2 linked regions of the Tribolium castaneum genome follow. The protein of the gene in region 1 purifies or fractionates together with the protein of each later gene. This does not show direct contact. Links are inferred from orthologs where the notes say so. Each region holds a gene or a part of one and is shown on either strand. Other genes may lie near its edges.

Region 1 (4,388 bases):
ACAAATTAGACATCAAATTATTCCAAGTGTTAAGTATTAAATTTCTGAATCTGAAACATCAAAATCTGTTTTTGAATCAGACTCACTTAGAGAAATAATAAATGGAGAAATATTTGCAATGTGTTTTGTCCAATCTGAAGCAATTAATTATTCCCAGTGTTTACAGAAATTTTGCCACATTTCGGGTGTACATTTTATGAGTGATTCCGACCATAGATTTGCAACTTTATTTCTGTCCAAAGGTTGCTCATTTGTATGTTTATTATAATAGTTCTTAGAAAACCCCTATGCCAATGAATTGCGTTATACTAGCGATGATATGGGGGTAATCAAAGAACTTCATGTCCATGGTCATTTAAAACTTTATCTATTACGTACTGTTTTTAATTATTTGCTTTTAAAGGTTTTATTAAATCCTACAACTGATTTTTAGTGAAGTATTAAATCAAATTCTATATGATGATTAATCAACCATACCTACATTTTACCCTTGGTAGAAGACGACGTGGGCATTTTTTCCAATTGCATCGAGTGACACGGAGCACTATCCATTATCACAACAGATTTAAATGGTAGTTTTGCTAAAGCAGGAATTAATTGGTTAATCACCCATGTTTGAAATATTTCTCCATTCATAGTTTTGTGATAGCCTCTGTCATTATTCGCCACATCCATTAAAAGGTCACATCCTTCCAAAAAAGCAAACCGACATCCCGCATATAATATAGTGAACCTTTTGTCTTCACTTTTAATTTTTGAAGGATTGCTTTTTAGGTCTTCTTCGTGAACCCACCGTCGAACATTGCTGCCATTTTGATAAATCCACCTTTCATCCAAATATACAAAAATAAAATTTTTAGTGTTTTAGAGTTTTGGTACTGAAGAAATTTTCGTAAAAAAACAATTTTTGATATCAGAACATGTTTTTGTTCACAAAGATTTTTCTTCTATTAACTAAACGAAATCTGTAACTCATATTTTTTAAAATTCTGTATGAAGTTGTTCGCCCTCCTTCAAACTCCAAATTTTCTTTTGATTCTGTTAGTAATGTGTCTAAAGTAAAATATTGATTTTTTTAATTATATTTCGAAGTAGGTATATTTAATTTCAGTTCATAGTAGAATTGCATTTTTCAACAGCGGATGTGAGTATTTTGGAGTAAAAATTAAGCCCAAATTGAGTTTCTGTATAAGAAAAGAATTCACACTTTGAGCTAAGAAAACCCACCAGAAACTCTCATGTTAAAAAATGCATATGCGCTGTTAAAAAATTCTACTATGAACTGAAATGGGATATACTACTATGGAGAAGTATCTGCTAATAACAGGAAGTGCCTACTTTTAACTATAGTCTTTTGTTCCCGAAAGTAAAGTATTTACTTAAAAAAGTAGCATTTACTTCACCCATGTCTTTACTCCACTGGACTGTAGTATTAGCATCTACTTCATTTTTATTTATACCACCCAATGATTTGTTTGGCATTCTGAAGTCCAGAGCAATGTCATACGTGTAGTTTTCACAAAATTTCAAAAAAAAAGATCCTTAATGAAAACCACATTAAACTTGAATAATTGTTGGTATTTTCATGGAGTTTAGAGAAAAGATAAGACAGCTTAACTGTTTATTTACAAAGTTAAAGTTACGTCTCGGAAACGCCTTCAGACCTTGGCTACATAATACTACGAAAATACCAACAATGATAAAAAAGGAGAATAATTTTTTTTTATAATTGAACTTGAATGTTTTTCGCAGAAAAATGATGAATGAAACGATTTGTCTTGAACGGTAAACTAAAAGGTTTTTTTTGCATAAAAACAGTAATTCCACTTTACATTCACATTATAAACAAGTGTTCAAAATTAGTTAATGTTTGAAAAACTTTATTAATCCGGCGTTACTCAGGTGAGTTTTTAGGACACCAATACTAAGGTGGGGTGTGACACACACATCAAAGAATGTGTTTGTTATTCTGAAACTATACCAAAGCATTTTACACTCGATTTTACATAAAGTCCAATATTTCAAAAAAGTCAAATCTTTACCTAGTTTTATAGAGCAAAATTTTTGGTAAAAAGTAGTAACGTAAGTAAGTGGGGTGTAACAAACCCCAGAGCCATAAAATCGGCTACAACACACATATTATAACAGCCAGGTGAAAATTATATTATATTATATGAAAATCATATATTACATCATATTCGAAATGTTTTTGCAATCTACTGAAAGGTGCATACATATAACATTCCTATCTAAAAAACCAAAGCATTTTTTTACTCTGGGGTCTGTCACACCCCAACTGAGTAACGCCGGGTTAAAGAACAAATATTCTTCAGTGTGACCAACCTAATAAAAGAACCATAGGTCTACTTTAACCTGATCAACTCGATTAATATATTTTTATGTTCCTTACCTTTCCCCTCTCGAAAATCGTTGACTTTGTGCTGATAATACGCATGGTAGGGGTCACCAGGATTCAGGAAATTAAATTTCGGATTCCCTAATTCGTTCTGTCTGATCCTGGCCTCAAATTCTGGCCCGTTTCTGGCCACAAAACTGGCTGTTTTATCGACGATATCTTAGCAAATTGTCAGGAAAAATACAATCTAACCTGAATTTTCCGACAAATCTGAAATTTTCACAAAGGATACTTCTCACCTCTGGTGGTGGATAAATAATACCCACCACTGGATTTATCGGTCCGGGATCGTCCGGATTTGGATTATTTGCTTCCAAAACCGGCATTTTCACTATTTTTTCTTACAATAAGCTAAATAAACACGCTAACAAACGCTTGCTCAACGTAAAATGAAGAGAGAGATGGCAATAAAAAATAAAATTGATGAATACTCCAAACCACTAGAGGCGCCACAAGCGGTCTTTACAGAATTCTATACCAACATTTTACGCGTGTAAACTGTTTTTATATTTTTTACTTTTGTAGTTATTTCTTATATTTTTTACAAATATTATGTATTATTATTATGTATTATAATATTATGTATTACGTTAATATCTATATTACAACTAACGCTTGTGGTTGCGGATCAAAAAGAACGATTAATGAAACCTAATTTATAGATTTGAAACAGCTTATATCTCATTTCAACTCATAGTAGAATTTTGCATTTGCATTTTTTGGAGTGAAGTAGAGCTCAAATTGAAAGTTTCTGGGTTCTTGGCTCAAAATTTGTTACTGAGATTTAGCTTAACATATATTTTTTTCTTATAAAGAAACTTTCAATATGTGCTTTATTTCACTCCAAAAAATCCAAATGCGCTGTTGCAGAATTCTGCGATAAACTGAAATAAAATATATTAGCTGTTTCAAAACTAAAAAAACGCTAACGTCGCATTTTTTTTTGAATTAGGTGTTATAAATTATTCATGTAGTTCAAAAAAATAATAGATAATGTAATTTATACTTGGGAAAGCTAATCAATAATAATTATTTTACATTTTTATTAATCTTATTTAAAAAAATTATTTAGTAAAATGCGACGTTGGTGTTTTTATAGTTTTAAAACAGCTAATAATTTATATTCAACATAGTATTTAACATTTTAGCGAACCTTGAAAAAACGTTGTACCTATAACTTCTGATAGTTTTCAGCTTCAACAGATCAATATTTAGTTCAATAAATTAAAAAACATAATAAAAGTAAAAAAATATAAAAATTTATGTTTAAACATTTGAGCTAAATTACTCTACACCGTTAGAGGACGCTTCAAAACAGACAGATAATTGACAGAAGAATTTGACAGTACGTTTGTGGTTTATGCTGCCCTCTTTTACCAACGCTTCCAAGTTGGGAGTTGTGCGTTGGTAAGGTTGATAACCTGTGGTTTGTTATTGTTTATATGCGGGAAAATTTCATTTTTAATCGAATTTTTCCAATGGGTGAGTTAATTATTTGATTTTTGATTATTTTGTGTTGGATTAGTGTGAGTTTGTGTTATAAGATTGATACCGGAAGGCCGCTTTCCTTCCGTTTTGTTTGAAACTGCGACGGAAATTTCCACAGTCGCATCGGCCTGGTTTATTTCCTAGTGGGCTAGAAATTGTTTTTTGATAATTTGAAGGGGTTGAAATGAAGGGGGACATTCTAAATTAAAAAAATGCGGCATTAGTTACTTGCTAGATTTTTATTTATTTAAAACAATTTATTTTAAGAGTCGCCGATTTTATTTATTATTATATTTTTTTTTAATTATAGAAAGATACAATTTACAAAACTGTTTTTTTTAATAACTTTTGCGTCGTGACCCATTTAAAAACCAATACTCTAGTCGTCGATGAAGGGAGCACGCAGAAGCATCATGTGGGGTGGTGTCCTACTCGCCCATATTTGACCCATTTTTGAAACAACTTATTTCGATTTTCTAGAATC
Region 2 (3,122 bases), on another chromosome or scaffold:
TGTACGACAGCTTCGACACCGCTTATCAGGCAACAGTCGGTATCGATTTTCTATCAAAAACAATGTATTTAACCGACAAAACCGTGCGTTTACAACTGTGGGACACAGCCGGTCAGGAGCGCTTCCGCTCTTTAATCCCTGCCTACATAAGAGACTCTTCAGTGGCTGTGGTGGTCTTTGATGTGACCAACATTGAAACCTTCCACCAAACCACAAAATGGATTAATGACGTGCGAATGGAACGCGGAGACTCCGTTATTGTGTTTCTGGTCGGCAACAAAGTCGACTTGAAGGACTTGAGACAAGTCAGTATAGAAGAGGGCGAACAAAAAGCGAAAGAATTGAACGTCACGTTCGTAGAGACGAGCGCCAAAGTTGGTTTGAACATTAAACAGCTATTTAAGCGAATTACTGAAAGTTTGGTGGTTTGTGAGGAACCAAAGAGTGATAATAGCAGTGAACTACAGGAAGTTAGTTTGGGGAAAAATGGCTTGGTTACGATTGACAACAGTTGCGCCTGTTAATTAAGAACAACTCGTTTTGTGAAACATTTATTTACAATAATTAATTGATACAATCTTATTTATTTAATTAAAAAAATAGTAACATAAAGAAAATTAAACCCCTTTCCTCCACTTTTCCGCTGTGGTAAACTCAGTCATCGGCTTGCCACTTATCCCACAAGTGCCAATCCCCACGCGTCCGTTCACCGAATCAGGCGACGCGAAAATACTCTTATTAGTGAGTCCGCTTTTTTTGTTTTTCACGGCTTTATTCGTAAAAGCCAGCCACTTGTTTTTCTCAACTTCTCTCTCTTCCTCCAATTCTTTGAATCTCTGCTGTTTCTTCAGCTTCTTCTTTTTGAGATATTCGCGGTTATTCATCATTTTGATGCGTTTCAAGCGTTCAGCTTCAGTCAGAACTCGTTTCGCTCCTGTGAATTCTTTAATTTCCGCTAAGGTAGAAACCCCCCGATTTTTATAAGCTTCAAATGTCACATTTACCTGTCCGTCCGGATGGATAGCATCGATACGGGCTTCGTAATATTGGCCGTTATCGTTCCATTTCGCGAGACAGGTGTCGCCAATCCGCCAGATTTTCTTTGATTTGTTACGAGCAACGAACTGCTCAACGGCCAGGAGCGACTTGGTTATCTCGTCTTCTTCAGGCACCCCAATCGGTTCGGTGTACTCGGGCTGATTTGCCGCCTCATCTGCCTTATTCTTCAAATCAAGGGACAATTCAATTACTTCCTCCAAGTCCACTTTGAGCTTTTGCAGCTCTTTGTTGTCGGGGTCGCTCAGAAGCGCGGCTTCGACTTGTTGTAATTGCAGGCGGTAGTTTTGCAACTCGTCCATCGTTCAGGTTGCAAAAAACGTACAAACTTACCAAAAAACTCGCCGTTATTTAATAAAATTATTGACAAGTTCAATACGTCAATAAATCGGCGGCCATTTGCAATCTTTCACGGTTTGTAGGGATTTTGACGTTACCAAGGCGTCACAAAAACCATCTTATAAAATAAAAACTTATCGTGATTATCACAAATACGCCCTAATTCACGTTTTTGAGTCGCTTGATTGTGTTTCGTATTTTTTCTATGTGTAAAAAGGCCGTTTTGGCGAGAAACGTGTTTGTTTGGCGGCGCTGCTGTCGCAGAAAAATCACCAAAGCGTCAAACAAGCCCCCTTGGTATTTTTTGATTGTTTGACGTTTTTGGGGGGGTTGTAGCGTCCCCCCAAAGTCAGGTGTACAAATGTGTGCTAAACAATTAAATTAAGTGATCGTTACCACGTTAAACTTTCGTAATGGCAAGTGTTATTTCCCTCTCGAGTGCATCGTTGAACGCTTCCCCCAAAAACACCGATTCTCCTGTGACTGTTCTAACCCTAAGTTCGGAAATACACCGAGTTCCCGTGAGTTGGGACGGCCACAAAGGTGCCAAAAGGACGTCCAAGGTCTTGGACTCTGATAACACCCCCAATCATTACGAAAAAGTCAAAGAATGGATAGATACGACCAAGTACGATGATCTGGGGCCCCCTAATGAGAATAAAAGCGTTTGTATCCGCTATGATTTCGATAAAAGCGAGAAAATCACAATAAATGTGCCGAAATCATGTTTTACGCGAGTCACTCCCTTGTTTTCTTATATGGAACAGGCCAAAAAAGCGGCTCTGAGTGACGAGAAAAAAAGCCAGGAATGTACAGCAAAAGTCAATGGAAATTTAAACTTTGAAACTCCCCTAAGCCCAGAAAGCCAGAAAAAGGAACTTTGCAGTTACTTACAGCTAATGAAACCTGGCGAAAAGAAACAGAAGAAACTGTTATTCGGAAACAGACGATCGAAGCGAGTCAAGAATTTAGTCCAAAACCACCAAAAAACGTGTTCAGAAAACGACATAAACACCTTCCCCACCCTCAAATCATTCGAAGATTTGAACATTTTTGAGTCGAAGAAGAAAAAAGAAACGCCCAATAAATATTTACCATTGCCCCCAAAGTCAAAATTTAGCGAATTTGTTGATTTTGAGGACTCGGTTCGTAAGATTGTCGAAAGTGTCAAGTTGAGGAGTAAAGTGACAAAGCGCCGAAAATTTAATTGGGGGCTCAAATCGCATCAGTTTAATTTCAAACGAATTAATTCACTACGTAGCAAAGGTCGGCTCAGGTTCATTTCTTTGGATCGGCTCATTTTGCGTAAAAGTCGGAAACGGCGGAAAAAATTTCTCAAGAAAGATTCACCACAAAAAAATGCATGTCCCCACTGTGATTCGGTGGAGAAACAACAACGTTGCGAAATCGTCTCGGTTCATACGAATTCGGATGATGAAAATATCGATTTGAAAAATTTCGTTGACGATATGTTAGAGTTGGATAAAATGAGTGAAGAGCACAGGAAAAGTGTGATCGAGACACGAATCTTGGCTTCCAGTTCGATTACCAACCTTATAAACAAACAAATGGCACAAGAAGCCGATGTCCAGAAGGCCTACAAAATTTTTGCCGACTTGTCCGAAAAGAAAACCACAGAAGAGAAGGAAAATAAAGATCTAGTCACTGATTTTGTTCTCATTGAACATGATTATGCAAAAATTGGCGAATTACCAAGTCAGGTGGAA

The links.
Region 2: the proteins of Sf3a1 (region 1) and Spf30 purify together in Homo sapiens (affinity purification with mass spectrometry; 3 studies listed by BioGRID and IntAct, with this or other methods). This does not show direct contact. The link is inferred for Tribolium castaneum from reciprocal best matches to the Homo sapiens genes SF3A1 and SMNDC1.

What each region holds. Positions count from the first base shown.
Region 1 is NC_087397.1:12,582,870-12,587,257, forward strand, and holds the start of Sf3a1 (splicing factor 3A subunit 1), read right to left. Parts: upstream 2,818-4,388; 5' UTR 2,743-2,817; coding exon 2,649-2,742; intron 2,576-2,648; coding exon 2,411-2,575; intron 1-2,410. Other genes in the region: peroxidase, read left to right, coding at 3,859-3,898. UniProt on the Homo sapiens protein: Component of the 17S U2 SnRNP complex of the spliceosome, a large ribonucleoprotein complex that removes introns from transcribed pre-mRNAs.
Region 2 is NC_087399.1:319,574-322,695, reverse strand, and holds Spf30 (survival of motor neuron-related-splicing factor 30), read right to left. Parts: upstream 1,503-3,122; 5' UTR 1,359-1,502; coding exon 618-1,358; 3' UTR 539-617; downstream 1-538. Other genes in the region: ras-related protein Rab6, read left to right, coding at 1-524; uncharacterized protein LOC103314146, read left to right, coding at 1,809-3,122. UniProt on the Homo sapiens protein: Involved in spliceosome assembly.